Lonchura striata: one gene and its partners. The protein of the gene in region 1 interacts with the protein of each later gene in a biochemical or structural test. Links are inferred from orthologs where the notes say so. Each region holds a gene or a part of one and is shown on either strand. Other genes may lie near its edges.

Region 1 (7,632 bases):
GGGACAGATAGATTTTCTTTTTCCAGGGAATCAGGTTTCTGCCATCAGTGAAGCTGTTGTGCCTTTTGTTCCGTTCCCAACAAGGAACCCATTGAGCATTCTTTGGATGTATCTCCTACCTGGCCCTGAAGCCAACTGAGTCATGGCTGTGCTCTGCACTGCCTGGAGCAGGTATAAAATACAGAAACAATTGTTATTAGGAGAGACCTGTTTCTCTCTCCCTAAATGCTGAAGGCACCTCTTTCCCCACCTCTCCAAAAGCTCATGCTTGTGTTAAGCCTTCCTACCTGATCCAATCAGTCATTAGGCCAAAATATTCCTGGCCAGGATCACTTCTCATCTTTTATAAGTATATTTTTATGGTTATTTTGGGATGTGGCTTTTCAAGGCTGGCTGTGTGCAGTGGTCTCTGTTTAGTAAGGGGACTGAGAAGTGAAATGCTGCCAGTCATATATTGATCTGAAATCAGACATAAAGTTTGGGGTCCCCCAAAGGAAAATCGGTTTCTGTGGTGTTTGGGCTTCTCGTCAGGATTTCTGAAATTTGCTTCCAAGCCTAAAATGTTTTCTTTTCTTTTTGCTGTGGAGTGATGGCATCCCAAACTCCAGGATGGGGTAATTAGGAGCAGGTATCTGTGAGTGCCTCCTGCAAAGCAGGACCAGACTTGTTCAGCTGCAGGATGTCAGCTCCAGACCGCAAACCCTGGAATGACATTTTCCTCTCCCTGGAGCTGGAATTCTGTTGAAATGTGCTTTTGTTTTCTCCTCCCCTCTCTGGAGAAAGTGGGACCTGTGTGCTCTGGAAGCAGCACAAAACCGAGGGTATCTTTTTGTATCCACTTAAAAGCCCCATCATTTGTTTACAAGTTCTTAAACCTAAAAGAACCATAAACCCTGACTGTACTTGGTGCTGTGTTTACTCAAGTTTCTCCCTCCTGGGGGACAGTGCAAACAGCCCTGGCAACTTCAGTTCTGTTTACAGTTTCTGATAGTTTTCTCTTTCATGCTTTCACTCCCTCACATAGCCCTACACTGAAATAAGCTAGAAACATAGCTGTGTGCTCATTAAAAACTAAATTTGATGGATAACTTGCTCTAAATAACTTCCCACCTGGGCTGCAGATCTGTTCTAAAAATTAAATTAGAAAAGGTGAGGAAATGCTTGTATTTTACATGGGGTTTTGAAAAAGCCTTTTTCAGGTAGGTAAAGGAATATTTTACAAAAGAAATTCTGTGTGAGGGTGGGCAGGCCCTGGCACAGGGTGCCCAGAGCAGCTGTGGCTGCCCCTGGATCCCTGGCGGTGCCCAAGGCCAGGCTGGACATTGGGCTTGGGACAGTGGAAGGTGCCCCTGCCCATGGAATTGGATGAACTTTAATGTCCCTTTCAACCCAAAAAATTCCACGATTCCGGGTGCAGTTTGAGCCACAACCTCTCGATGTTTGGAGGCAGAACTGGTCCGTGCAGCCTGCAGAGCTCTGCTGGGTGCTGAGCACAGGGAGCACGGGCAGATCCCAGGTCCTCAGCAGTTCCTCGGGAACCCAAAAGGATGGACAGCTGTGAAACAGCTCCTCTGTGTCCCAGGAACAGCCAAAGCTTAGGCCAGAACCACATGGAATTGGGCAAAGCATTATGGACCGGCCGTGCATAGATTTAATTCCAAAAACCCAAGTCGCCTCCCACTCTCCCCCCACATGCTGTGAGGAGATGTGTGGGTTTCAAACAGATGTGCTCCTCCTTCTCTTCGGGTGCCAAGGGCTGCATCCTGCGCCGGAGCCACTCGCTGGTTGGCATCCAGGAAAGGGAAGGTGACTGATCCAGGAGCCGGGCAGCGATTGTGTCCATGACAACCGGCAGACACGGCCTCGCCGCCTCGCTCGGCTCCTTCCTTCCCCAGCGCCTTCCCCGGGCACATCCCGGCTCGCGGCTCCCTCGGCTGCATCCAGCATTCCTGAGAGAAAGGTGCAAAGCCCACAAACGAGGCACATTCCCTGGAGCCAGCAGCTCGGTCGGTTCTGCAGCAGAAATCCGGGGCTGGAGCTGTGTGCTTCACCGAGAGGCTCCGGAGCTGCGGATGGGGACGGGTGGATCCACTGAGATACCGCGCGGGACAGGGGGGCTTGGCAGACTGAGAGTCTGCGGGGCCGGCAGGCAAAATGCACTTTATTCTGACAAAAAAGAAATGGTTTAGATGTGCTGGATGCCTTCAGAAATGCATCTGAGCTGAGCAAGGGAACGTGGTGCTGACCTGTGCAGGAATGTCGGCCGAGGTTGGAGGTGTTTGCTCCACAGAGCCTCAGTCTGCACAATCCCTGTTCAGGGAGCAGGAACTGCCTGGGCTGTGCTTCCTCGAGAGCTCTGCATCCCACTGCCTGCTGTGGTGCAATTCCTGCATTCCGACCACTGCCTGGACCTGCCTTGGAAAACGCTGGCATTTGAGGCAGCTGCAATCACACCCAGCGTGGAGGAACAGAAAGAAATCTGTCAGAAAAGCAAAAAGCTCTTAGAGGCAGCCAGTTTTTCTCATTTCCAGGGCCCCTGCTTTGTATCTTCAACGTGGTTTTTACCACGCTACGGAAAAATGTTCCTGGGATCAAAACAAGGTGATCCATCATCTCATCCTCCATAGTGGCAAAACAAAGCAGAAGAGGCAAAGAAATGAGATGGTGAATGGAGAGCCAGGGATTAAAAGACAGGATGTGGAGTTCAGGTTCTGCCCTGACACTGAAAACCTGACTCAGTTTCCCTGTGAGGACAACAACGAGCTTTGGATCTGATTGGTCAATATTAAAAGTACAAAGAGGGTTGCTGCAAGCTCTAATTAATTGACTGTCTTAGCAAATTAGAAGAGTCTGTAAATTGTAGCAGATATTTGGGATTCAGCCTTGCAAGGAAGGTCTTGTGCCTGTGATCTTTTTTGCATTTCCTTGGGTGTGTAAAAGCAGCAGCCCACAAAGCAGGCAGGGGATGAGATGCCCATGCATTCAGAAAAAAAGAAAGGATGCAGTGAGCCATGGGAGCACTGGGTTACTGTGGCCATGGGGAGAATCACTTGGCCAGCTTTTGGAGCAGTCAGGCAAAATTGGATCTGGTAGTGATGATACAGATCAGTCTCCATCTGCTCTGGAAGTGCTTTGGGGGTGTCCTGGTTTCAGCTGGGATAGAGTTAATTTTCTTCTTAACTGGCTTAACAAATGTTGTCAGCGTTTCTGCAAAGGAAAAATGTTACACAGCCAGCCAGCTGCAGAGGCAAAAATATCTACAACTGTATTGGAGGAGGATTTGATGGTTTTAAAACCAAACTAAACCCGCAGCATTTTGAACTTCTAGCAGCACTGACAAAGCATCCAGCTGATCCCAAGTCTCTGTTTACCACAGCAGCAGCTCTTCCCAGCCTGCAACTGTCTCAGAAAAATGCCAGGCTGTATGTTTTAATCACTGTATTTAGCCATGACAGTCACCCAAACAGCAGATTTTGCTTTTTGCACCCTGCTTCCAGGATCAAGGATGCTTTTTATAGCTGTTCTTTGACTGGAAATAAATCCTGGGGGACACCGCTACCTCATTTCTCTTACCCTGACATCCTGGACTTAGCAGCAATTTCCTGTGGCACATTTCACCTTCTGTTAATCCAGCTTGGATTCAGCATTACCTGGAGCAGGAATGGAGGGAAGGTCAGTCTGAGAACTTCTGGCTTCTCTTGGGCTCCTGGAGCTGGCGATGGAGAGGCCGGAGCGTTTCCCCCCAGCATCACTGTGGTGTCACCACAACCTTTTTTGGGGTGTTATTTACTTTTGAGATACTGTAGAGCTACCTCAGCAAAATCCTCTCCTTTAACAAAAGTAGCTGCAGAGAATAATCACAAGTCATTTGTGGTCTCCCCAAAGTCTTTCATTTGCTGTTTTGCTAAAAGGAGTGGACAGGGTAATCTGGCAGTTTTATTTAGGTGAAGCTTCATGATTTCTGTCTTTGTCAAGTCCTGAGGCAGCATGTCTGTCTCTGTGTTATGAAATATGATGGATTTCCTGCATCCCAACCTGGCAGGGGTGGAAGCAGCAGCACTTCTGTCCCCATGCTCTCCATAGGCCTTGATCTGGATATTGCCCATGAACCTTTCACTGCGGCCTTCAAGAAGAAGACTTGATTTTCTACTGTAACTTTTCAACACTTCCAAAGTTATTTATTTGTAACTTAAAAAAAGCAATTGGTTGGACAGGAGGGGACAGCCGGGGGGGTCTCTGCTCCCAGAGAACAGGGACAGGAGGAGAAGGAATGGCCTCAGGCTGCCTCGGGGGAGGTTTAGGTTGGATATTGGGAAACATTCCTTCACCAAAAGGCTGGTCAGGCATTGAAACACGCTGCCCAGGTTGAGTCACCATCCCTCGAGGGATTTAAAGCCGCGTGGCTGTGGCACTGGCAGCGCGGGTTAGCGGTGGCCTGGGGCCGGGGGCATGGCGGGACTCGATGCTTCGCCGGGAGCTTTTCCAGCCCCGGCGATCCCGCGCTCCGACCCGCCGCACGCCGGGCTGGGCTTGCCGGATGCTCCGGGCGGGGGATCCCCGCAGCCCCTCCCCGGCGGCTCCCGCCCCCCGCCCCGCCCCGGCCCGGCCCGGAGCCGGTGCGTGCCCGGCCCGGCGGCGCTCGCAGCCAGCCCGGCGCGGGCAGCCGGCGGCAGCGATGCCGCTCGCCCAGCTGGCCGAGCCCTGGCCCGACATGGAGCTGGTGCATCTGGACACGGAGGTGAGCGGGGGGGCTCCGGGGCGGGGGGCTCCGCCGAACAAAGGAGCGCCCGGCGGGACCCGCGGAGCGGCGCGGGCCGAGCCGCGCCCGCGGCGGGGCAGCGCGGCCGCGGAGCCCGGCGCTGCGGGGCTCTGCTCGGGGCACCGCGGCTCGCTGCTGCCCGTGCGGCTCTGATCGTGCCGGGAGTGCAGGCAGCGCTCCCCAGTCTGCCGGGCACACGGCAAAGCGGAGCCGGCTGAAGGCCCGGGGAATAAAAATCTCAATTTTGGGGGTTTTCTCCCTCACCCTCCCAGCGCCGTCTTCTCGCAAAGGCCTGCGCCGCCAACTCCGACCACGCTCCGGTGTCACTTTGCTGGACTCTGCTCTTCCCTCCCCTTTGGCTCTTTTCCTCCTTACTGAGACCCCCAAGCCAGATGTGCAGGATGGAGCTCATCCCCTGTCCACATCTGCAGGCTGGCACAGCCATTTCTGACGGAAGGGACAGCTTGCAGCAGTTGTCACCCATGGCAGAGCAGTTGTGCTCTGTGCTCTGGCACTCTTCAGTTAAACGTATTCTCACTCAAACTGGAACCAGCAGCTCTCCCGGAGAAACCAGAGGGAAGGTGGGGGTTTGGTCCCAGGTGTTTCACAGACCCTGGTGCTTTCCTGTCGTTCTCTCTGGATTTCATGCTGTCACACTCCGTTATCATACCTGGGGATATCTCCGTGGTTAATTGGTCAGATTTGCTCATTCCTGTTTAAAATTGCCTCTTCAGAGGTCTGTGCTTTGAGCAGCGGCAGCGCTCCCGCCCCCGCTGCAGGGAGGCACTGGCCATTGAGGTGAGGTTTCCGAATTTTCATCAGCCAGCTATGGCACAGCTTCTGCAGCCCCCGTGAGGTGGGCAGGCTCTGCCTGGGCTCAACACCTGGCACGAAGGTGGCTGAAGAGCCTCTGCTCTGGAGCACCGGCGGAGCCGTGAGGAGGAGTTTGTGCTCCAGGCTGGGAGAGGAGGGAAATCCTGCGGCGATTCCCAAATCGCGTCATGTCCCCGAGCCAGGCCGTGGGTTATTGCTGCGAGTCGGGGCTTTTTATTTGTGGTTTCTCCTTCCTAAGAAGAGAGATGCCTGAAAAGCCAGGAAACGCCACTCGGCTCATAATGGGAGGAAACGAGTGCGGGTGCCCAGGGCAGGGGAAGCCGCGGGCGAGGCTCCATTCAGTGCCTAATCCCGGTGTCCCGGTGTCCCGGTGCCGGCGGGCGCCGTGTCAGCGCCACGGGATCGCTCCGAGCGGAAACGGCCGGGGGACCGGGCGGCAGGCACCGATCTCCCCATCGCAGGAGCGGCTGCGCTGCTCGGAAGCCGAGAGCGGAGGGAGCCTCTGGCTCTCCCTGCCCCGTCTCACCTTGGCGCAGCTCCGGGGCAGGGCCGGGCGCCACGCGCGGGTGGGATTGCAGCGGATCAGGTGTTTTGCGTCTCGGGAGCTCGAGTGGCACTTAGCAATTTGCCTCTCTTTGGTTTAAAATGATGAGTACACGCTCTTAATTCCAGCGAGGAATATAATACAGGTGTTCTTCACCTCCACACCTGGTCAGACGTTAGAGAGCTGCCTGAGGTCCTGCAGCAGAGCGGGAATGGGGCTTGGGAGGAGTGTTGCACTTTGAGGCTATAATCGCCAAGGGCAGGGGCCCAAGGGGGAAGTTTTCACCCCTCCTGGGAGAGGTGGCACCACTGAGAAAGCAAGGAGACGTTTCTGGAACACTGGTTACGTAAATTGCCCTGGGATCGCTGCCATCCAGGTTAGAAACCGGCTTCCTCCGACCTTTGCTTTCTGAGTCATGGAGCAGAGGTGCTGTCACCGTGCTGCTGGAGGCATCAGTCCTTTTGTTGAGGGATTTGGGGTTTTTCCACTATGTTCCAGGAGAATTGGCCGTGTGGTGCCCCTTGTCCCGGCCCACCAGAGCTCAGCCATGCCAGGGAAACGCGTGGGAGTGGGTGGCAATGGGAGCCTGAACTGCTCCCTGACAGGAGCCAACTCCCTCTGTCCTGGACTCTGGGCTTTACAATCACTGCTCCTGCTTTTATTCCCCTTGCCATTCTCTCTTCTGCTTATATTATTCCAAATATTGGTTATTGTAGCAGAAAAACGTGGCTGGGGCAGAGTACAAAAGCTGGAGAATGGAGTTGAGTGACGCAGAAATCCTTCCCTGGGAGGGTGGGCAGCCCTGGCACAGGTGCCCAGAGCAGCTGGGGCTGCCCTGGATCCCTGGCAGTGCCCAGGGCCAGGCTGGACAGGGCCTGGAGCAGCCTGGGACAGTGGGAGGTGTCCCTGCCATGGCAGGGGGAATGAGGTGGGCTTTAAGGTCCTTTCCATCCCAAACCATCCTGTGTTTCTTTGATTCCATGACTTCATCCCCATAGTGGTGGATCTGTCATCAGGGCTCCGCTTTGCTTCAAATTCTTCTTTCATTACACAAACCTACAACAATGCAACTGACGTGGGATTACGCCAAGCTCCACCACTTCAAGCTAATTATTTTTGCCTGTATATACGTATCACCCTTTATTGAGCAGGAGCTATTAATGAATAACTCTTTTCTCAAGCATGGTAGCTCGAGTTGTGCAAACTACGATCAAGAGACAAGGGAGACAGCTGAGTGGCTGTCATCCCTGATATGCCTTGTGCAGAGCCTCCTCTGTTTGGGCACTGGAGTTCCTTTGGAGATCTCTATTCTTGTAGAATTATTTCCTTTCTCCAAACTGTAGTAGGCAAGATCCATAAATTCTACTTAATGGTAATAATTTAAACATGCCTTGTTCTTGTGTCAAACTAGCAGGAGCTCTGGGGTGAAGGGTTTCTCCCTCTGCTCCTTCCTTGAGTGCTTCATGGCTCATCAGAGTTGGGTGGAAGAGCAGCT
Region 2 (6,933 bases), on another chromosome or scaffold:
GCCAGCTGCCCAAAATGCTGTGAAAGGCACGGAATTGGCTGACCAGGGCTGTGGTGACACGACACCTCCCAGCTTTCTCCAGACTGGTGGCTGCTCCAGAGAACTGCACAACAGCCCTTTGTAACGGGGCTGGACCCGGCACAGGGGTCTGGGCCAGCTGTACCCATAAATCTGATAGGAAGTATAGCTGAAAATATGTGTCATGAACATTTGCAGCCAAGAAGGAGCAGCTCTGAGGATTACAGCAGCTCCCTACACCGTACAGAGCTAAACGATGCCAACCCAACATCAGCAGCACCAGCCATGGAAAAAGGGTGGTGTGGGAATAAAGGAGAGCAAAGAGGAGGAGGCAGGGGTTGGGTGAGATGGTTTCTGACAGCAGGACAGTGTGCAGGGCTCTCCTGCCATCAGCAGTGGAGATGGAGCTGTGTGCCAGGCTGTGGGAGCAGAAAGCCCCCAGAATGCCATGGCAAAGTGCTGCAGGAAAAGGGGGAGACACCACTGTCCTGAATCTTGATATGACTGTGAACCCCCAATTTATTTTAATGGTATTACTAGCATTTTGACCAGCACACACCCAGTATTGCCTGAAGTTAGAACACTTCATTTAGTATTAAAATATTTTCTGGTTTGAGTTAGGAAAAGAAGGATGGGTTCTGTCCTGGATTCCTAAGAAGGTTAAAAAAAAAAAAAAAAGATCCTCTGACATGAAGTTTTATTTCCTTTACACAGCTTTTAGAGCCTCAACATTACCAGAGGTGTGAATACAGATGTTTGACAGTTTTGAACAGTTTAATACTGCTGTGTCTGTGGTAGCACATTCCAGGTCACTGGGAGGACTCTGAATGTCTTAATTTAAAAGATAATTGGCTTCCAGGGCTTTCCTCGCTGGGGAGCCTCATTCCAATTAAAACTTGGGGATTGTTGTAGCTCTGGCATTTAATTCTGGTCATTTTATAAATGGTCTAATTTTGAGGGGTTGAAATCAAGTTAATTTTTCCCTTCCTAATTAAAAAACCCTGTGTGATGATGGAAAAAAAAAAATCACAAGTACACAGCAAATATCTTGTATGTGGATGTGGATTTTACAAAGATGATGACCACAGATCCTGAAATAGCCAGTGAGATCTCCAAGTTGCATCATAGTTAACCCCAAAGCCTGCATTTTGTAGGAAGCCCTATTGTGGGATGCCAGGTGAGCTCAGGCTCTGGAAAGCATCGGATCACAGCGGCTTCTTCCAATTCACTCCGCTTTGTGTGACTCCTGGGAGTCAATTTCTGCTGCCTTAATACCATTTCCAGCCCTGGAAATTCCACTTTTAGAGTTTCTTCGGGGAAGAGAACCAAGAGAAAACAGTAACACCGCGAATTGTTACTTTTCTGTGCGAGTTAGGAGTCCAGCCAGCAATGACGATCACACTTAAAAACATACCTACAGAAAGATGTACCTATAGATGTGCAACTTAAAGATACGCCTAGAGAAAGCGGCGTATTACCCCTATTGAACCCCAAAGCTCAAATATTTGAAAAGATTTGCGGCCGGATGGGCTCTCCAGGAGAAACCCTGCACATGGGAACGCCCCGGGCGCCGCGCACGGGACAAGGCGCATCCCTAAGGATCCATCCCGGGGGACAAGGCGCATCCCTAAGGATCCATCCCGGGGGACAAGGCGCATTCCCTAAGGATGCATCCCGGGGGACAAGGCGCATCCCTAAGGATGCATCCCGGGGGACAAGGCGCATCCCTAAGGATGCATCCCGGGGGACAAGACACATCCCGAGGGACCAGGTGCATCCCGGGGGACAAGGCGCATCCCTAAGGATCCATCCCGGGGGACAAGGCGCATTCCCTAAGGATGCATCCCGGGGGACAAGGCGCATCCCTAAGGATGCATCCCGGGGGACAAGACACATCCCGAGGGACCAGGCGCAACCCGGGGGACAAGACACATGCGGAGGGACCAGGCGCATCCCTAGGGACAAGGAGCATCCCTAGGGACAAGGCGCATCCCTAGGGACAAGGCGCATCCCGGGGGACAAGGCGCATCCCTAGGGACCAGGCGCATCCCGGGGGACCCCGGGCAGCGCGGGGTCCATCCTTACCTTGCCGGGGGAAGCTGCGCGGGCGCGGGCCAGCGCGTCCAGGCGGGCGCTGTACTGCGTGAAGCGCTTCTGGTAGCGCAGCGCCGTCACCTGCAGCTCCAGCTGCGCCGCCGCCAGCCGCGACAGCAGCGACTGCTCCCGCTTGCCGGCGCGCAGCGCCTCCTTCTTCAGCGCCTTCTCCAGCGCGGCCGCCCGCGCCTGCAGCGCGGCGCCGTGTGCGCGCAGCGCCCGCAGGCAGCCGTGGGCGCCGGCGCGGCGCTCGCCGTGGGTCAGCACCAGCCCGCAGCCCTGCTCGCACAGCCCCGCGGGCCGCGCCTCGCAGCGCTCCCGCATGTGCGCTTCCACGTCGCGCAGGTTGAGCACCTGGCGGCAGCCGCGGTTGCGGCACTTGGCCGGAGAGAAGTCGCAGGTCTCGGCGTGCTCGCCCAGGTGCTGCAGCGGCACCACCGCCTCGCAGCCCCGCGCGTGGTTGTCGCACTTGATGTCCAGCTTGAGGATGAGGCTCTTGAGGGGCAGGACGTGGTTGAGCTCCTTGGTGGAGATGCGCTGGCAGTTGACGGGGCAGCTGCCCTGCTGCACCACCCAGGGCAGCACGCAGCCCGCGCAGAAGACGTGTCCGCACGGGGTGGTCAGCGGGTCCTCCAGCACCTTGTTGCACAGGTTGCACTTGAAGTCGGGATCCACCTCCCCGCTGAAGCGATCCAGCTCGAACCCCATCCTCCTTCCGCTCCGCCGCAAACAACAGAAGAAAAGGAAAAAAGAAAAAAAAAAAAAAAAACAACCCAGAAAAAGTACCCGGAGTGCAGCGACGGGCCGGGGCAGAGGCGGAGAACGGGAATAAATTAAGTCCGAGCCGCCCGAGAGGCAGCTGAGCCCCCGGCGCGGCCCGCGGCCGTGCCCCGTCCCCGCCGGTCCCGGAGCGCCGGGAGGAGCCGCGGCCGCGCCGCCGCCTGCGCGCAGCGCCCGCCCCGGCCGGCACCGCCCCCGGCCGGCACCGCCCCCGGCCCCGCTCCCCGCCGGACAACCGGGCTTTGTGCCGGCTCGGGGCTGCGCCCGGCCCCGCGCTGCTGCCCCGGCCCCCGAGCCCGCCGGCGGAGCGCGGCCGGGGCGGCGCCGCGCACACGAGCGAAAGTACCCGCGGGGACGGGATGGGATGGGATGGGATGGGATGGGATGGGATGGGATGGGATGGGATGGGATGGGATGGGATGGGATGGGATGGGATGGGATGGGATGGGGCCGCGCAGGGGGAGCGGGGTGAGAGCAGGGAACGGGAGAGGGAGGGATGGAGGGGATGGAGGGGATGGAGGGGATGGAGGGGAGGGGGAGCGCTGGGAGGGGCGCGACAAGGTGAGAGCGACCGGCCTCGGCCGCCGGCAGCGGTGACGGGAGGGATCGCTCGGAGCGACGCGGGGCGCATCGGCTGAGCACAGGGCAGCCCCGAGCTACCTGGTGTAGTGGAAAGCGTTCCTGACTGTGGTAAAAGGTTTGGAACCGGATGGTCTTCAAGGTTCCTTCCAACCCAAACCATCCAATGGCTCTGTGATGACTTTTGGAAAGGGCATTCACGGAGTTGCCCCTGGGGTCAGGTCCTGGACGAGTTGCTTAGAAATTGGGATGACTCCTCAGTCCTCAAGAGTGAATTCTTACATTACCGACGAGAAAAAGTGCAAACAGAACAATCTGCCGGTGTGTGAGGGTCTGCCAGTGTGTGAAGGACCGAAACATTAAGGGTTAATGATTTGCAAAAGCACCAGGGTGCTTTGCTGAGGTCAGGTTTGCACCCCGCAGCTGAAGGAGAGATGAAGACGTTTTGGGTGTGTGGTGGCAAAATCTCTGATCTGCCCAAGAACAGCCCAGATAGGGGGGGGATGAACACACACCGCCAAAGGATGGCCACGACAAATCAACCTTTGTTTAGCAACAAACCGAGTTTTGAGCCAGATGGGGGAGAAAGCTGGTAAGAAACAGACCCTGTGCAGGTGGGGAATGCTTTCTGTCATGCCCATGTCCTCCCTTACACACCTGGCTCAGGTGTAAGTGCCTTCTCGGGTCGGGGTATCGGGACGTTCACACACAGACCTGAGAGTTTTCATCCCTTCTGAGAAGGCACAACTGGCTCAGCTGTGCAGTCATGTCTGAGAAGGGGCCATAAACCATCAAAGATTCCCAAAGTGCCCCCAGACTCATGATCCAGTGTTGCAACAGAGAGTGGAAAACTCCCCCTCCAGGGGAGGCACTAGCACCTGAATCTGAACCTGTGTTATGCCACCAAACTTTATGTTCCATGGATTTCCTGTAGCCCTGATGGATGAAGGCTGAGACCATCACTTTGACAAATGGGCATCAAAACTGCAGCAGTCAAATCTTGTTTCTGGATCCACAGGTGGTGATATCTTTCCTTTCCACTGTCTACTCTTATCCTTTCTTTCTCTTTCTTCCTAATTATTTTCTTAAGTGATCTTATACTTTCATATTGCTCCTAATAGAGTAATATACTTACATATTGCTCTATTACTATAGATAATACCCAGAAGAGCTATGTACCTCCTTTCCCTTACATACAAATTGTTCCAAAATAAACTTGCCGTATATTTTATATAAATAAAAATACTCCATTCAGTGTCATTTCATTCTAATCCCCCCAAGGGATCTGTGAACAAGAACCTCAGCAACCAGTGCTGTCCACATCCTCATGGAAAAGGGATCAGATTGTTCTGTGTTTGCACAGGCTGCTAATGCCCCGTTGCTGCCCCTTGGATGTAGCTGATGTAGCTCATTAAAAGCCACCACTTTTGATACCTGTTCCTGCCCAGGGATGATTGAAAAGCACTCCTGAATATGCTGTAAAAAGCCAGCCAGACCACACCTGAAGCACCAGGCACAGCATTAGGCAACAGCAATTTCTCCTACAAGGCAGATATTCAAGTACTGAAAAAAAAAGCAATAAAAGAGACCAGCTTTGTTCATTGTGGATAGTGATGAAGAATTCTCACGTGCACCAGAGCCACAGAGCAGCTCAATTGTTCTTTTAAAATGTTTTTCTTTATGGCAAAGCAGAAGCCAGCGAGAAACTTCAGCTTCAAGTGGCCTTTATTGTGTGTCTGTGATGTCCCAGTAAAGCAACTTTCTGAATGCCTGCGATGACTTTTTGTGTGTTGGTGACCTCTAGAAGGTAACAAGACTCGTGGTTACACAACTGTGTTCCCATTTCAGTCTCAGGCAAGTATTTTTTAGTGCTAAGCCTTTTTCCTTTTCAAATCTGAATTCCATCTGTAGTGCTCATTCTAATTATTAATGTTCCATAAAGCTTGAGGTTGCTTTTGGCTCCATACATTGCCCTGCCGAAGGGAGCATGCATCAATATTTAGGGTGATATACCTAACTAAGGAATTTTTAACAGATTTGTTCCTTTTTTTTAAAAAAAAAAAAAAAGCAGATGATGTAATAGAGAACTGTGCATATAGGTTTCTGTTAACTCCATCTGAAGGTTGTGTGCACTGCAGGGTGATAAAATTTAATTAATACACGTATATTGCTGACTTTTGGATTCTTCTAATTAAACTGCAGTAGTTATTCTCATACTTCTTCTTGTGTTTCACTGCCTTTTGCATCTTCCTTCTCTTTGCCATCTGTTTCTCCTCGGGATATCTCTGCTCACGTGTCCCTCCTGCCATTCCCCTTCCTTCAGTGCCACTTCTGCTCCCTCCATCCCCTGGGGCCAGCAGCCCTGCCCTGCTGAGTCCCCACATGCAGCTGCAGTGTCAGTTCACACTTCCCTAGCAGGACTCTCTCGTCCTCCACTTTGCCACAAAACTTGGGATTGCTGCTATCAATCACAGCATCTGCTTTTTCCAGGGGCATTTAAATGAACTAAAACTCCACACTGCCTGCTCAGGGGATGCACACAGTCCAGCTGAGGGGGTTTGGTGCTCATTGCTGGAGCTGCTGTGTCTCTGATGGGGAAATCCAGCAGTGCACCTGGTCCTGAGCAGGCTGCTTTGAGAGAGCTGCTCCAAATCAGCCACCATCACCCCACAGACTCCTCTACCCCGGTTTATAAACTGCCCCGTGTGCTCAGGATGGTTGTAAATAGAATGAAATTAATTCCTTCAATGATTGCTGTGGAGGTTTGGGTTTAGGATTTCAAAGTTGTCGCTCCAGGATGCTCGAGGCCACTGCCTGAAGCCAGAGGCAGAGCTTTTATTGATTTCCACCAGGGTGACGTCAGGACCAGGTTCCTTGGGCTATTTGAAACTACACAAATATTTGGATGGAAAATACAGGCAAGAACTGGAATAACATTTTCACTTGGAGCCGTGGCTGGGCAGATGCTGTGCTGAATTCTGTGATACACTTTAATGTGACATTTATGTAGGAATAGATACTTTATTTATAAATTAAAGCTTTTGAAGGCCACTGCAGCCTTGCACTGAGATTACAGCTTGGACTGCTGACAGGGAATTGAAATTTCCCTCTCCCTGCTGCCTCTGTCCATGGGAGAAGGCACAAATGGAGCTTTCCCTACTGGAGACACATTTCTGTTCTCTTTTGGAAAAAAAAGAGAAAAGTCTGAAAAGCAGCCTCTCATCATGAGACTTTAATGTTCTTTTCAAAGCCTGAGGTTTGTAACTGAGGAGAGGTTTGGGTTCCAGGGCTGAAATTACACTGCCCCAGCTAAGGAAGGTCGTTTTTATTTAGTAAATTCTCTCATCCTCAGAGGTAGTGCTGGGGTGGGACCACTGCTGAGCCATTAAGGCTCTCCCACTTAGCTTTGCTCCCTTGTCAAAGGAAGGGTGAGGAAATGTCAGTTTGGGATACAGCACAGGC
Region 3 (7,164 bases), on another chromosome or scaffold:
TAGATGGGGGCAAAATCACCTACAGTTACTTTCTGCATTACCTGACTGGGTCGTCCTCCTACAATATTGAATCCCAAAGTGTCATTTTCTCGGTGTAGCATGATCACTAATGGTTTGCGTACTCCTCCCTAAGAAGAAAGAGATTAAACATTGTTAAAGAACACAGTCTCAACAAGAAGTTATTAAATGAAAACATTATTTCATGTAAGATTTTAGCTGGAGAATATATAAGATAAGGCTTGAAGAAAAACTAGGCTGAAAAGACTTGGCACTGGAAAAAAAAAAAAAAAAAAAAAAAGAAAAGACAAGATTCACTGAAAAGTTAGCAGGTAACACCTGATTATCTCCAGTTATCTTCAGCTGAACAGAAAAAAAGGACAGATTTTAGGTGTCAGGAATGCTTGGCACCACTGAAAAAAGTCAGAGCTCCAAATGTCTGGAAGTGTCTATAAACATAAAATCCCTATTAGTGTTAACATTTTAGACATTAAACATACAGATTAAAATACACAACATTATAAATTTCAGACCCCAAAGTCCTACCAGTACACATTTTAAAGCGATTTTCAGAGAACACAGAGAAGATGAAAACCAGTTTTTATCCCAAACTTTTTCTTTCCAAAAGGAAAGAATCCAAAACATCTGTAAAAATATGGGTTGTAGTCTGAAAAAAGGCTTAAAGTATAAACCAGACACTGAGAAGTATACACGTAGAAAAGGTTAAAGATGAGAAAAGAAAAAATCTTTTCCTTCAGTGGACCAGGTGAATAATTAAAATATTTTAAAATTGAAAATCGGAGGCTTTAGCACAGCAAGTTACCTTACTTTACGCTGAAACCCACATGTTATTAACTGTGCCAGTGACGTGTCTTATGCCCGAACGATAGGTTTGAATTTAATCCCGTGCATGTCTACGGGAACAGCGCAGCGCGACGGAGATGCGCGGGCGGCAGCGCCCACAGCGCCACCTGCCGGCGGCGCGGGCGCAGCGCCGCTCCGCACCGCGGCCGGCCCCCAGCGACAGTCCCGCCGCTCCTCCCGCCGCACCACCCCTTTCCTCGCCACCCCCCGAGCAGGCACTGTCCCACTGCTGTCCCACAACACATGACCTTATCTCGTCTGACAAGAGATGAAGAAAGTGTATGAAACCTCTCAGGTCCACCAACCTAAACCTCACAAACTAGCTAACTAGAGGAAACGTAAAAAAAAAAAAAATTACTCAAGTTTTCAGAATTACTCAAGACCTCCGAGACCTGTATTCTGAGGCATTCTTGTGTCCTGTGAACAACGTCCCCTTTCCCATTTTCCATGCAGTAGGCAGATGCCCAGCACACTACATTGCTTCTTCGGGTGTGAGTTTCACTGCTCAGACCTTTTCCACCTGGGATTTTGCTTCCCAAGGGCCCAGGTAGATTTAGGTAGAAAGAAAAATTCCTTGCATTAAAATACTTCTCACCACGGCTGCAGTCAGCAGTGCCTGAGCCTACACAGTGAGCTTCCAGGCAGGAATTAAAAACCAACCAGTTCCACCACAGCAAGTGAAGCCAGCTCACCGCAATTCTCGCATGGTTTGTTTTGCCTGAGGAGCGTGTCGGTCTCTGGGCAATGCCCTCAGATCTGAGAGGCGAGCGCAGCAATGCTCCGGCCTCTGCTTATCAACGGCGGTAGCTGTCATGCCATTCTCCCAAAGCTTCGCTGTCCTTTTGCCATCGTTTCCAAAGTCTACAATAAGTTTGCACTCAAGTTTTTTAAGACGACTTCTAGCTGCTCAAATAAAAGTTAAAAGCCAGCTCCACGCCCCTGAGCTGCCGCCAGTACCAGCTGGAGCAAAACGAGAAACAAGAGCAGCTGGGTCCCTGCGAGGCGGGGCGGTCTGATGTGGACACCCTGATCGGACGAGCCGGGACCCGCTTGCCAGCTGCCAGCCCAGGAGCGAAGCCATCTCCCCTCCCGTCCGCTCCCCATTCTCTCCGGCCGAGCAAGCGCTCGGTCGCAGCCTCTGCCAAGCACTGCTGGGCTCACCGATTTCGGCTACCGAAGGGCGCCGGAAGAGGGACAGGCAGGGAGCGTGTCCCCAGTGGAGGTGTTACAAAAAAAAATCAGTAAAAACAAAACTCTTCATCTGGCAACAGGGACCGGCGACTATATCTCCCCGAAAGAGGCGAGAGACGGCTCGTACCGCCCGGGGGATGGGCAGCGAGATCGGGCTGGGTCCCGGACTGCTGTGGTGGTGACTGCCGGCCCCGGGGGCACCGCCCGCCCCGTCACTCGGCCGGTGGCTCACAAATCGGGTACGGGCAAAGCAGGAGGAGAGCACAGCTGGAGGGGCGCAGACCAGGCGCGCTGCCCCGCCGACCCTTGACGCCGCACTCACCTTGCCGGGCTGGCCGCCCGCCAGGTCCCGGGCGATGCTGCTGATGTGGCTCATGTACTGGCCGAACTTCGCCTGGTACCGCCGCGCCGTCAGCTGCACCTCGCTCTGCAGCGCCGACAGCTGCGCCAGCAGCGACTTCTCCCTCCTGCTCCAGCGCAGGGCCTCCCTCTTCAGCTCCTGACCCGGCTCCGGGGCGCCGCCGCCCCGCAGCGCCCGCAGGCAGCGGTGCCCGCCGTCCGCCCGCGGCTGCCCCGCCGCGCTGCCCGGCGAGCGGCCGGGGGAGCGCCCGGCCAGGGGCTGCGGCTCGGCGGGGCCGGCCGGCCCGTAGCGGCACGCCGCCAGGTGCGCGGGCAGCTCCCGCAGCCGCACGGTGCGGCCGCAGCCCCGCGGGCTGTAGTCGCACTTGACCTCCAGCTTCTGGACGAGGCTGCGGAGGGGCAGGACGGGGCGCAGCTCGGCGGCCGCCAGCGGCCGGCAGCGCAGCGGGCAGCGGCGGCGCCGCGCCGCCCAGGGCAGCAGGCAGCCGGCGCAGAAGACGTGCCCGCACGGAGTGGACAGCGGCTCCTCCAGCACCCGCCCGCACAGCCCGCACTGCAGCTCCGCCGCCACCGGCCCCGCGAACCGCGATGGGTCGAAGCCCATGGCGCGGCCGGGCACCGCGAAACTTTCGGCGCCGCGACCCCGGCCTGGCCCCGGCGCCGCTGGAGCCGGTCCCGGCGGGCGGCGGCGAGGGGCGGGCGGAGGAGCGGGGCTGCGCCGGGAGAGGCGGGCGGCGGCGCTGAGACGGAGATCCCGGCGGCTCTCCCCACCCTCTCGCATTAGCTCCCTCTTCGCGGCGCTACCGCCCCACGCCCAGCGCCGGCACCACCTCCGCCCTCCCGGAGCATCCTCGCTGCGCGGCGGGGCCAGGGACCGAGGCGCCGGGACGCGCCGCCGCTCGGCCCGCGCCCGCCGCCCTCCCCCCGCGGGCACTGTCCCGGCGGGAGAGCTGTGTCCCGGCGGGTCACTCGGGACTGGGCTGTGGGCCCGGAGGGAGGGAGGGAGCTGAAAGGCTGCGGGACAGCGAATCGCTCAGGCTCCGACTGATGCACACTTGTGCTGGTAAATAACGCGCACGTGTGAGCACGCCGGTTTCATGTCTCTCCAAAAGGCTTCCTCCTCTCTTTTCCTCCCGTTTTGGGATATCTGTCAGGACACAGAGTCCTGAAATCCCTAGTACTAGTGCTCTCTTTGCTGTCACACCATAAAGGAAATAAGTCAGGATAACAAAATTATTTGTTGGGCTCCCTTAAACTACAGCATATGCATAAACAATACGTTTCTTTAAAGAAAAGCTAAAACACAGCAAAATCTGGAAAAGCCTAGTTAGGATCAATAGCTGCCTGGATTCTACCCCTTCATTGCTGCACAACCCACAACATACACTGAAACATGAAACCCCTAACACATTCCCCACATAACTTCACTACTGAAAACACAGGGCCAGATTGCTGCCCCCAGCCCTGTGGAAAACCTCCCAGAGCAGAGAGGGATGGAGCTCTCTGAGGGGTTTCTTCAGTGGACTCCTTCTCATGTGGATCAGACACCATCATTTTTGGAAAGGATGACAGGTTTGGTCTGTCCAGGCTCGATCACAGATTATTTCCTGGGCTGAGAACTTCTGAGGTTAGAGCCAGGGTGTGTCCTCACCACTTCTGCAATTTCTACTTCAAATTCTGAATCTCAGAAGCATCCCTCTAGGAAAGCTATGGGGGTTTTTGAGACCCAGTAATGAATGGTTCTTTTCCATGACTAAAAATATATAATGTGAGCAATACAGCTGAGACTTTTTTTCCCCCAAAGCAAGAAGGAAAACCTTGCACATACCTGCCCATAGAACTGAATCTGGGATAGCAGATGTTATGTATACTCATGATTTACTTAAAAAAAAGATTGGCAATACCTCACAAAACATCTACAGACACAAATACTAGTGAGAAGCATGACCAATCTACTTGCCAAATGGAAACCCACAGTTTTTCTTGGATTACCATGGCCATGAAAAAAAATAAGCAAATGAACTGCACCATCAAATATCTCTCATCTTGAAGACAATGCATTGTAATCCAATATTTCATTGCAGATCAAAATCACATTTTCCCACATGAAAAAGGAAATCAGACACCTTGAGTAATTGTGCTATTCATACTGCTTTTTAATAATCTATCCATGGATTTCAATTGCTTTGCTCATGGAGTCAAATCAGTGTCATCCAAAATGCTATAGAAAATTATTTTTAAATAGTGTCCTCCTCTCCATTTTTAAATTTAACTATTAGCTTGGCCTCATTATTTGTTTACATACTCTTCTGTCTCATAGTGTCCCAATGTATCTCTTTGACCTCATTATTCATGGCCCAGAACTTCAGGTCTGAGCACAGGCAGTAATGTCTTCATTCATAAATTAAACTGGGCAGAGAAAAGGCTCTGACACTGTTTCATAATCTGTTAAACTGGTATTGCTTCTGTTAGTGTGATTCTTGAAATGGCTTTGGTGAAGATGTGTGAGCAGCCTCCAAAACCACAGCTGGACACAGCATTAGCACTGCAGGGGCAAGTGCCAAGAGATAGTTTGGGGTGGCTGCCCTCTTTGGGAGGTGGAGGCTTAAGGGCAAGGCTGTGAGTCCTTCTGGGGTCCCTGGCACATTTTATTCACCAGTATAAAGGCAGTCAAAGGAAGGAGGTAGCAAGGTTTGAGCCCTGGAGACTTTCAGATTCTTTTAGATTAGGTGATTAATTAAACAATGGTTTAGGCTTCCTATGGTAATCATACTTAAAAAAACCAACTCTGTCCTTTCTGGCCCATTTTGGGCATTGATACAATGTCAATGCACTGGCTAAACAGTTCCAGGCAGTTGACTTTTTCTTCCCTTGTGCTGGACTAAGAGATCATCTTTCTTTGCCATGATGTCAGCACAAATGGAAGCACAGGCAACTGGGTTGATTGCAGAAACAATTTTCCAGTGCAGGAACCTGTAATACAGACAAATATACTAAACTCATCTAAAGATAACAGCTGTCTGCATACCAGGCCTCCATGGAAATGGATACACATGGATAAATACATGCAAATGTTACCAATGTGCTTACAAAAGATGATTCCTATAATTAGTCCTATTAGTTCTGATGTAATCAGGAAATGAAAAACACAATCTTCCTACTGTCCTGAAGTATTCTTAAAGAGACAACATAATTATAATTTTTTTTTGCTTCTCCAGGGTCTCAGCACCCACAGCTCCAAGTTTCCTACAGCCACTCCAGTCATGGGTTCATTGAGGTGGTCAAAGAAGGAAATGCAGATTTAGGGAGATGGAGAGAGGCTGAAGAGCATAGGAGCAGCAGTGCTCTCCTGAACACTGGGGACAGCTGTTATAGCAACACACTGGGACTGAACCTGGTCATGGATCAAATAAATGTGCAGAGCCTTGTCCCCAGATCAGTCCATGTCTTCAAGAGCTTCTAACACATTCATTTTTGCTCTGCTCAGTAAGGCAGGAAAAGTAATTAGAGATAAGAAAGCATTTGCTTCCTTAGTCACAGGTACCTACACACGCACACACACACACACACACACACACACACATTTTGTGGGAGGATTTTGGTGAAGGTAACTGTCCTGAAGGAATTCTTTACCAGCACAGAACCCCAGCTGCTCCTGATCATCAGAGCTGGGAGGAAGAGCTATTTCTATTAAAAATAGAGGGTCATATTTGCCCATAGTTCTTTTCTCATCCTAGGAGGATCTACAGCTTAAAGGATGAATTTTACAGCTGTTTCCAAGTCTTCTGATGAAAATATCAGAAGACAATAAGAAATTAGTACTCTGAAATATTGAAGGTTTCTGTAAGGCTCCAGGCTCCACTGAAGCCAAAGGGGGAAATCCTGCAAGCTTTCAACTCACATATGTGGGAATAAAATATGTATTTTTATATTCCCACCCTCATTTTCATAAAAAATTGGCCTGTTATTCATCCACAGAATTTCACAAAAAGGTTCTTTTTCCAGTCACACTAGTAAAATTCTGTAACTAATCTAGACCTAGGAAGACTCAGCAACTTCACTCTAAGAACTTAGATCTGAGCATTTGCTATTAAAAGCTGTTATCATCAGAAATCTGCAAAGAATTTTTTTTTGCAATTTTTAAGTCAGCAAGGAATTTTTCTGTACTACAGTTTATCATTGAGCATAGTAAAAGTGTTTGGGGGAAGTGTTCAAGTCTGAGAGTGTACAGATTTTTGCTGAAACCTGAGCAAGTATTTGCATTCATCAATTAAGGAAAGAAAATTCAGCTAAGCTGCATACATTGAGAGAAGAAGATTACATCCAGAAAACATTTGTAATTTATGTTATTCACCAGCACAAAGACACTATATGATCTCTATGTTTGTGCAACTATGTATAACATCAAATAAATCAACAATTCGCTCTGGCCACCAGGAAAACGAGAACTAGTCTTAAAAACCAGTTAGTGGGTGGTCTAGAGTTTTGGCTTGCCTCTTTTACTCACTAAATAGCCATAAGCAAGTCCTGAAAAGCTTTTCACTTTTCACTTACTGCTAATGCTACCCAGCAGAATATACAGCAGTCATCTTAAGTCCCTATACAACACCTGTAGTGAACAAAGATGCCTCACCAGGGCACCTTAGGGAAATCATAATTGAAATATGCACCTTCCAACACAACAGGTGGACAAAAGCACCTTCCAGGATGTGCCTGACCTGGGAGGTGTGCTCTGCAGTCACACCCTTGAGG
Region 4 (7,612 bases), on another chromosome or scaffold:
AGACCTTAGAAACACCCTACACTTCAGATTCAAGGAGACAAATCCCTCACTGTCAGTCCCTGACACTAGATTCCCTCGGACTTCTATCCCAATAGCACCCAAGCCTGAAGAGCCATGGGGCACACAAAGGTCTGCTGGCAGAGCACTCCATGCCTTTCAAATGATGGTTTCAGTTTTGACTGAGGAAAATCATGAAACACAGGACCCTGAAATGCAGTAACACAATTACATGTCTTTGAGAATTCAGACGTATTATGTGCCTACCAGGGACCACCAGCTCCTGGCCCTCACTCCCTTCATCTCAACCACCTGCATGGTCACATGCACCTTCCCAGACGCCTTCCAAAACTTGGCGGGTTTGGATAGCTCTGGATCAAAAGGGAAGCCAAATTCAAAGTCACAGGTCTTCACAGAGAATGCCTTGTCAACAACTTCCCTAATTACATATACCCTGACTGGAAAATTGCCATTGTGCAGCTGTGGCAGCCTTGCAAAAAACAACCAAAACCCAGTATATTTTAAAATACTGTATTCAAGGACACTAAATCTAACTGAGAAAATGACTACAAAAATCATCTGATGCGGTACATATGCTCCAGTATGGGAAAAATTGCTGGTTCTGAAGATTTTGTTTGATCTGTTCCAAAAGTTACATAAAATCAGCACAAAAATGCTATTTCTCTTTGTACAACTCACCAGCATCAGGTTTACAAGCTCTGGATGACTATGCTAAACAGCACAGGTCCTTACAAGACTCCAGCAGCAGTTTTCTTCTGTTGAAGAAACCATTCCTCTGTTTTAACTAGTTACTAAGCCACAGGAGAATTCTGCTCTTCTATTTTGGCAGCTACACTGCCACACCATGCTCACTCAGCAAGAGACTCATCCAAGTCAGTGATACCTTACTGAAAGCCTATTTGAAAATCCACCTCACCAAAATACTCGGATTTGATTAAACCAGCCAGTGAAAGCAGCCCACTCTGCTCATTAAGTGGTATTGGTTCACATGCCCAATGTTCTATTTCTCTTCTAAAACTCAAATTTTAATCAACTTGCTGGAATCACCAACCAGCCTCTGTTGACCTTCTGGACTCTTTTCTTATCAGTACTCTATACTCCCCACTCCTCTCCCTTTCACACCACCCAGAATTTAAGGAACAGGCAATGCACTACTGTTAATACCTGGAAGCCCTCATGAACATCATCTAGCTCTTGCCATTTTCTACTGCTAATTGCAGCTATTTCTTCTAAATATTTTTTGCCAGTTTGACATTGCTGTTAAGAAATTACCAGCACAAGAATACTCCCTCCATAGGAAATACAAGAAATCCCTATGAACTATAATTTCATCTTTCACAAGCTTTCTCTTTTAAAAAGAGATTATTTTTTATCTTAAACAATTTGTCTCTCTTTTTAAAATCCTCTTAGTTCACATCTAACTTGCAGCTGTTTTTTCTTTTACATTTTCTCCCTTCAGAAGGGACTTCCAATTTTGTAAATAAAGACCTTTTTCAAAACCTACCAGGCTTCTAAGATGTGTGTCTGTTTCATGGGATTTTTTTTTGATTGTTGCTTTAATTTAGCAAGTTATATGAATCAGGACCAACAGCACAATCTCTATATGGAACATGACTTTCCATTAGTGGTCAAACAGGGAAAACCCGACTTAAAATACATATTACATGAAGTCAGAGAGCACCCAGCAGTTACCAAAGAAGAACAAGACAAGTGCTCAGCAAAGAAGCACTAGGAGAAATATTATAGACCCTAATAATAGAGATACTGATATCCATTGAGATTCAGAGAAAAATACTTTTTCCCAAGACACCTTCTTATAAGGCAGCAGGCTCACATCTGGTTTGCCTGACCAAGAAAGCAGAAGGTACCTCTGGAGCTCATGAATTAACTCATGCAGCTGCAAGCGCCACTATTCAGCATTACTCTGACATTTAACAGGCACGTTGATAAATATGATGTTACCACAAGCACTAGCTAATTGAAGTGTACTCAAAAATAATACAAATCTGTGGAAAAAATAACAGCCGGAGTTTGTTCTCAGGGCTTTTATCTCTGCCAAGTGGGAAACTAAGAGGATGAAGCGATGGCACTCCGGTGCTCCATCCCGGCCATTCCCCACCCACCCTCGACCTCTGCAAGCAGCGGATTATATAAACACCACGGAAAGCACCTCCTGCACCTCCGAGAGGAGGACGCAGGCACCAGACCCTCCAGGGGCCATTGAGTCACCCAGAGCCCCGCGAGGGTCACACCCGCACAAACGCTGCATCGCGAAGCCGGGCATTCCGGACGGGGAGAGGACCCTCGGGAGAGGCTACCGGGACGGGACTGGGGAGAGAGCACCGTCCTGAGGCCGCCCCGAGACTGCGGGACCGCCTCCTGCCTTGCATCACCCCTCTCGGCAGCGGCGCCTTCCCGAACCCGCGGAAACTTTCCCAGCGGGGCACCCGCGCCCCGGATTCCGCCCGGTTGCCTCCGGGCGCCGCTCCCCGCCGCGGCCCTCCCGCCGCCCCAGGGCGCCGGCGCGGCCGGGCCTACGCGCGGCCGGCTGGGCGGCGGCGGGAGGGCCTCGGTCCAGCTCGGCGGTGGAGGGCGCTCACCTGGGCGCACGGTCTTGAGGCGTACGGGCTCCCTGAAGTGCCGCACCACGGCTAGCGTGTCGCGGTGCGTGAGGCCGCTCACCGGGGTACCGTTCACCTCCAGCAGCACGTCCCCCGGCGCCGGCGCCTTGCCCGAGAGCAGCGCGGGGCCCGGCGAGTCCTCGCCGCCCGCGGGCAGCCGGCCCGCCAGGTACGGGAACTCGCCGCGCTCGGCGCCGCCGCGCAGCAGATCGGGGTCGGGGCCCGCTGGGCCGCCCCAGGACACCACGCACTCCTGCACCTTGCTCAGCCAGTGCCGCTTCTTCCGCAGCGTCTTGGACATGCCGCAACACGGGGCGACCCTACCCACCCCGCGCTGCCGCCGCTCCCGCCCCGGCCGCGGCTGCCGCCCGACTGCCGCCCCAGCGCGCCGCCCCGCCCCGCGCCGCCCCGCCGCCCCTCCCCGCCAGGCTCCGCTCTTCCCGTCTCCGCCGCGCCCTGCCTGCCTCGCTGGCCGCGCCCCTCCCGGCCCGCCGCGCCCTGCCGCCCCTTGGCCGCGGCCCTGGCGCGGGGCTGCCGGTCCGAGGCTGCGCGGGTGCCGGGCCAGGCCGAGCCGGGGCACGTAGGGGGCTTAGACCTGGCCCGCCGGGACCCCCAGGAGCTGCGGCACGTTCCGGGTGTGTCCTCCTCGCCCGGAAAGAGCCCCTCGGGCAATGCCCGCCTAGGCCGAGATACCCCCTCATCCGGCAGTTCCCCCGCCAGCGCCCGTTGCAGCAGGGTCGCTCTCAGCGAGGGCTTGCGTCGTGCAGGATCTCTCCTCAGCCAGGAGTTCCTCAGTCAGTGCCCATCCCAGGCAGGGTCTCCTGTCACCCAGCATCTCTGTCGGGATCTCTCCTCAGACAGGAGCTCCCCTCAGCCAGGGCCTTATCAGCTAAGAGCTCCCAGTCAGCTCCCACCTAAGGAAGAGTTTACCTTCAGCCAGGGTCACCCCTTAGCCAGGAGACCCCCTTGGCAGCTGGGTTTGAGATAGGTGTGAGAGCTGAGGTGGGGTGTCCATAATCTGCTCTCATGTTTGCACTTAGTGCCTGCACAATCAGACAGGCGGAGACCACTCCTGTGTATTCCCAGCATTCCTATGGCTACTGCCACTGGAACCAGTTGGTTCAAAGTAGTTTGATGACCTCAGGCCAAAACAGAGCTCGGAACAATTTAAATATAAACATGCAGATACTTTTTCAACTGGAAACACAAATCCAGTGGGTTTTCTCTTCACATGAGCCTGTTTATTTAGCTGTGATTCACAGAACTCAGCATAGCAATTAACTCATGCCAGGTGCAGATTACACGCCAGGTATGCGACATGTACATTCCAGCATTTGGGAGCACAGTGCAGCTGCCGAAGAAAGGAAACACTAAAAAGTATGAAGCAGAGGAAAGTTCATTCAAAATCAGTGTCACTGCTATAAAAGCTGGAAAATAATTATTTGAAAGCTTTCTGGTTCAAATTGCAAAATTCACTGCCCAGTCCTCAAATTTTTTTCTCTTAATCAGAGGCTGAATTTTCACTGCAAATCTCTTGTGATGTCTACAATGTTTTAGGAGCATCTTGAAGGCTCCAGCTGTGCCCAGTGGGCTGAAGTCTGTAAGGAGCAGCAGGGCTGGAAAAAAATCTGAGTCCTGAGAAAGTATAACCTTGCCACTGTTTGCAAATAAAGAGCTATGACTGAAGTACTGCTTTCTTTTCTGTAGGAGGAAGTGAAGAAGCTGGTGCCTGCAGAGCCTAAAGAATAATTGCTGAGTTGTAAAACAATGGATTTTTGTTCCCATTGCTGTGTCCCTGTGTTCACCTCAGTCTGGACAACACAGTGTGTTAGAAGTATCAGATTTCAACACTGAATTTTGCAGCGATAAATAGTAAGTGAAACCACTAAGAAACCTGCTCGTAACAAAAAACAGTAACTTCTGCAACCAGAAATTTTCCCTTTTCCAGTTCTTAGAGATTTGTCTACCATTAAGGCCTAGTAGTCTATGGCTTTTACAAAAAAAAAAGCAAGAATGTTTCCAAAGAAGTCAGAAGAACACCAATCTTACTTGCTGGGGTAAAACAATGTAATCCATACTTTTTTTGGGGACATTAACCAAATGCTACAAGCACAGGTTCAGCTCATCGTGTTCGCTGCTATTTGAGGCGCACTGGGCTGCCTGCCAACAGGCATGGAAAAAGCCACCAGAGATAAATTTTATTTCACGCTTGCAGAATAGAAGCAAAAAGGCTGAAAGCTTGTGAACTGGACATTAAAAGAGACACTGTCACATTGTTTAAAACAGGTCTTCAGTTTTTCACATGGGAATTGTGACATCAGGCATGAGCTGTAATTTATGAGCTGCTGATGGTAGCTTTTGCCAGATGTTCCAGAGAATACACAGAGTCCTGTGCAGACAGTGTGGATATCTCAAGGAAGAGATGAGTGTCTGACTGGCTCAAGGGTTGGAAGTTTGTCCCTCCCCCTAAGCAGAAGGTTTGTCCAGCCCTCACCTTAGGAAATTACAGCTCAGTCTTTTCACTGGCCAAGACTTCAAACCTTGGGTTGAAATGTGCACTGCATTTACACACCTGAAATGGAGGGCAGCTCCAAAATACTGACATATGCCAATTAATAACACTGGTAAAAAAACCAATGAAACTGCTGTTCTGCAATGAAAGTACTGTTGTCTTTAAGAGTATGCTTCCATATAAACTTAAAAGCCAAAACAAGCTGCCTAATTGTTGCAAATTTTATTATGCTAGCAAGTTGGGCAAGTTCATTGTACATTACATGAAGGATATTCCTCCTGCTCTCCATGAACAAACTTCGAAACATGTACGGGCTGCCTGGGAACTGGCTGACAGCTTTAGTCCATTTGTCTTGCTTTCATTTCTTGTTCCATATTACTCATCACGTATCCCAGACACATGAAGTGTCTGCACAGCCTTGGACACGATCAGAAAGGAATGTGCCCTTGCACCCCCACCAGTGGTGACCTGCTGAGGGCTGAGAAATCATTAATGTTTGGAGCTCTCAGTGAGTTAAAAGGGGCTATCAAAGAAACATCAGAGCTCCAGCATCCCTGGTTCATCACCCATCACACTGTGACAGCTGCCAGTCCACTCTGCTGTTGGCATCAGCACATACAGAATGCCACAAGAAGAGGATGCTAAGATCTGTCACACCAGAATGAAGGACATAAACTCTTTTAAGGCAGCACAGTTTTTGGTAGGAAAGGAAGTAAAGTTTGTTTATCACACTGCCAAAGTTCAAAGGCAATCAAAACAGCAAAAACATGTCAAACCGCTGTTTAATTAGAGCATGAAGACATATTGTCTCAGAGTGGTTAGGAAAGGAATTGTGGTATTGTGTTTAGATTCCTCTGAAGCCCTTTTCCTCATGCCCAGTGCTTGCCATGCAAATCTTGGTGTGACGTATAGGTCAGCAATCCTGTGCCACAGAGGCAAAATACTCACACAACATGCACAAACACAAAATAAGAACACCTTCTTCCTCAGCAAGGATGACATGAAAGCCAGTTGCACTGATACAGAGATGGCATTTGTTCATGCAGAAGGATGTTATTTCCTATTTTCCTGGTGACTGGGCACACAGGAGCTCTGTCTCTCTCACAACACCACTACCTGACCACAATGTTTTACAGCTTTTGGGAGAACCAACAAGTGATGGTTAACTCCACTGCATTAACTGAAAACAAAATCAGTTGCCAGGAAGCAGCAGTGGGCACAGTGTTATTCCCTAACAGAGCCCTCATCTCAAACACAGGGTCAGAAATTATTCAGGAAGCTCCATGCCTCTGAGGAAGCACAAACAAATCACAGTTGAATAAGAGTGGTTCAAAGCCAGGCACTTGCTGTTCTGTTGACAGACATATCCAGGACTGTCTATTTGAAAACTGTGTGACTCTAAGAGACATTTATCTGAAGGCAAACTTTAAAACATGTCATAAATTAACTTGTACAGGAGCAGAAGCTGCCGTGGAACCAGACCTTACCAGGGAATTTTGTAAAGCTTAGAGAATAAACTCAAGCCTCAAGAGAAGTCTTTGTCACCCTGGGCAGACACCAATCCCTGGTGTCTGTGCTCCTCACCTGGGAAAGGAGAATGTATCAACCCAGCAGGCTGTAGATGGGGATCAATGCATTCTTCGCTGATGCAAAGCTGCATCATAAACCTGCCTGTATTTCATAAACACATCAGCACAGCAGGCAAATGAGAGGCTGTACCAGCAGGAATAGCATCCACACAGTCGTATATCCTTCTTTGCTCCTCTTTCACATATAAATAACCATTCTCGAGCAATGCAGAACTACTGATCATTGCATACAATAGAATCAGAGAATCATAGAATATGATCATCAAGTCCAATTCCTGACCCTGCACAGGACAACCCCAAAATCCTACCATGTGCTTGAGAGTGTTGTCCAAACACTCCTTGAGCTCTGGCAGCCTTGGGGCATGACAACTGCTCTGCCCTGAGGAGCCATTTCAGTGCCCAACCACCCTATGGGGAGAAGAACTGTTTCCCAATATCCAGCTTAAACTTCCTCTGACACAGTTCCATGTTGTGCCTTCAGTACTACTATCACTGATCATCAGAGAGCAGAGAACAGTGTTGAATGTTTCCTCAGGAATCCTGTAAACAGCAAGAGTTCTGGACTGGGAATTTTAGATGTTTCAACCAAGATTTTACAGTAAATCAGCAGTGAATACAGATCCTCTGTATGCCTCAATTTTCCAGCTGCATATTCAACATCATTTTGCAACTGAAACATCACAAATCCTTTTAAACTAACACTCATTAAATGAAAGACAACTCAGTTGAAGGAAGCTCTGTAACCCTGCGATGGAGAATATGGGGGAAAACTGACAGAAAATTGTTTGTTTGCTTAACACAAACAACTGCCAACAGGTTAAAAGCTTGGTCAAGGGATGAGTCTGCCTCTGACCTGAGTTGTACTGCTTTGT

The links.
Region 2: the proteins of RPS6KA1 (region 1) and PDZRN3 interact in a test that uses a peptide from one of them, tested with the Homo sapiens proteins (2 studies listed by BioGRID and IntAct, with this or other methods). The link is inferred for Lonchura striata from reciprocal best matches to the Homo sapiens genes RPS6KA1 and PDZRN3.
Region 3: the proteins of RPS6KA1 (region 1) and PDZRN4 interact in a test that uses a peptide from one of them, tested with the Homo sapiens proteins (2 studies listed by BioGRID and IntAct, with this or other methods). The link is inferred for Lonchura striata from reciprocal best matches to the Homo sapiens genes RPS6KA1 and PDZRN4.
Region 4: the proteins of RPS6KA1 (region 1) and MAGI3 interact in a test that uses a peptide from one of them, tested with the Homo sapiens proteins (2 studies listed by BioGRID and IntAct). The link is inferred for Lonchura striata from reciprocal best matches to the Homo sapiens genes RPS6KA1 and MAGI3.

The regions. Positions count from the first base shown.
Region 1 is NC_134628.1:279,871-287,502, reverse strand, and holds the start of RPS6KA1 (ribosomal protein S6 kinase alpha-1), read left to right. Parts: upstream 1-4,628; 5' UTR 4,629-4,675; coding exon 4,676-4,738; intron 4,739-7,632. UniProt on the Homo sapiens protein: Serine/threonine-protein kinase that acts downstream of ERK (MAPK1/ERK2 and MAPK3/ERK1) signaling and mediates mitogenic and stress-induced activation of the transcription factors CREB1, ETV1/ER81 and NR4A1/NUR77, regulates translation through RPS6 and EIF4B phosphorylation, and mediates cellular proliferation, survival, and differentiation by modulating mTOR signaling and repressing pro-apoptotic function of BAD and DAPK1.
Region 2 is NC_134614.1:21,033,249-21,040,181, forward strand, and holds the start of PDZRN3 (E3 ubiquitin-protein ligase PDZRN3), read right to left. Parts: upstream 3,015-6,933; 5' UTR 2,821-3,014; coding exon 2,104-2,820; intron 1-2,103. UniProt on the Homo sapiens protein: E3 ubiquitin-protein ligase. Plays an important role in regulating the surface level of MUSK on myotubes. Mediates the ubiquitination of MUSK, promoting its endocytosis and lysosomal degradation. Might contribute to terminal myogenic differentiation.
Region 3 is NC_134607.1:38,354,252-38,361,415, reverse strand, and holds the start of PDZRN4 (PDZ domain-containing RING finger protein 4), read right to left. Parts: upstream 3,017-7,164; coding exon 2,375-3,016; intron 129-2,374; coding exon 42-128; intron 1-41.
Region 4 is NC_134632.1:5,997,604-6,005,215, reverse strand, and holds the start of MAGI3 (membrane-associated guanylate kinase, WW and PDZ domain-containing protein 3), read right to left. Parts: upstream 3,020-7,612; 5' UTR 2,941-3,019; coding exon 2,619-2,940; intron 1-2,618.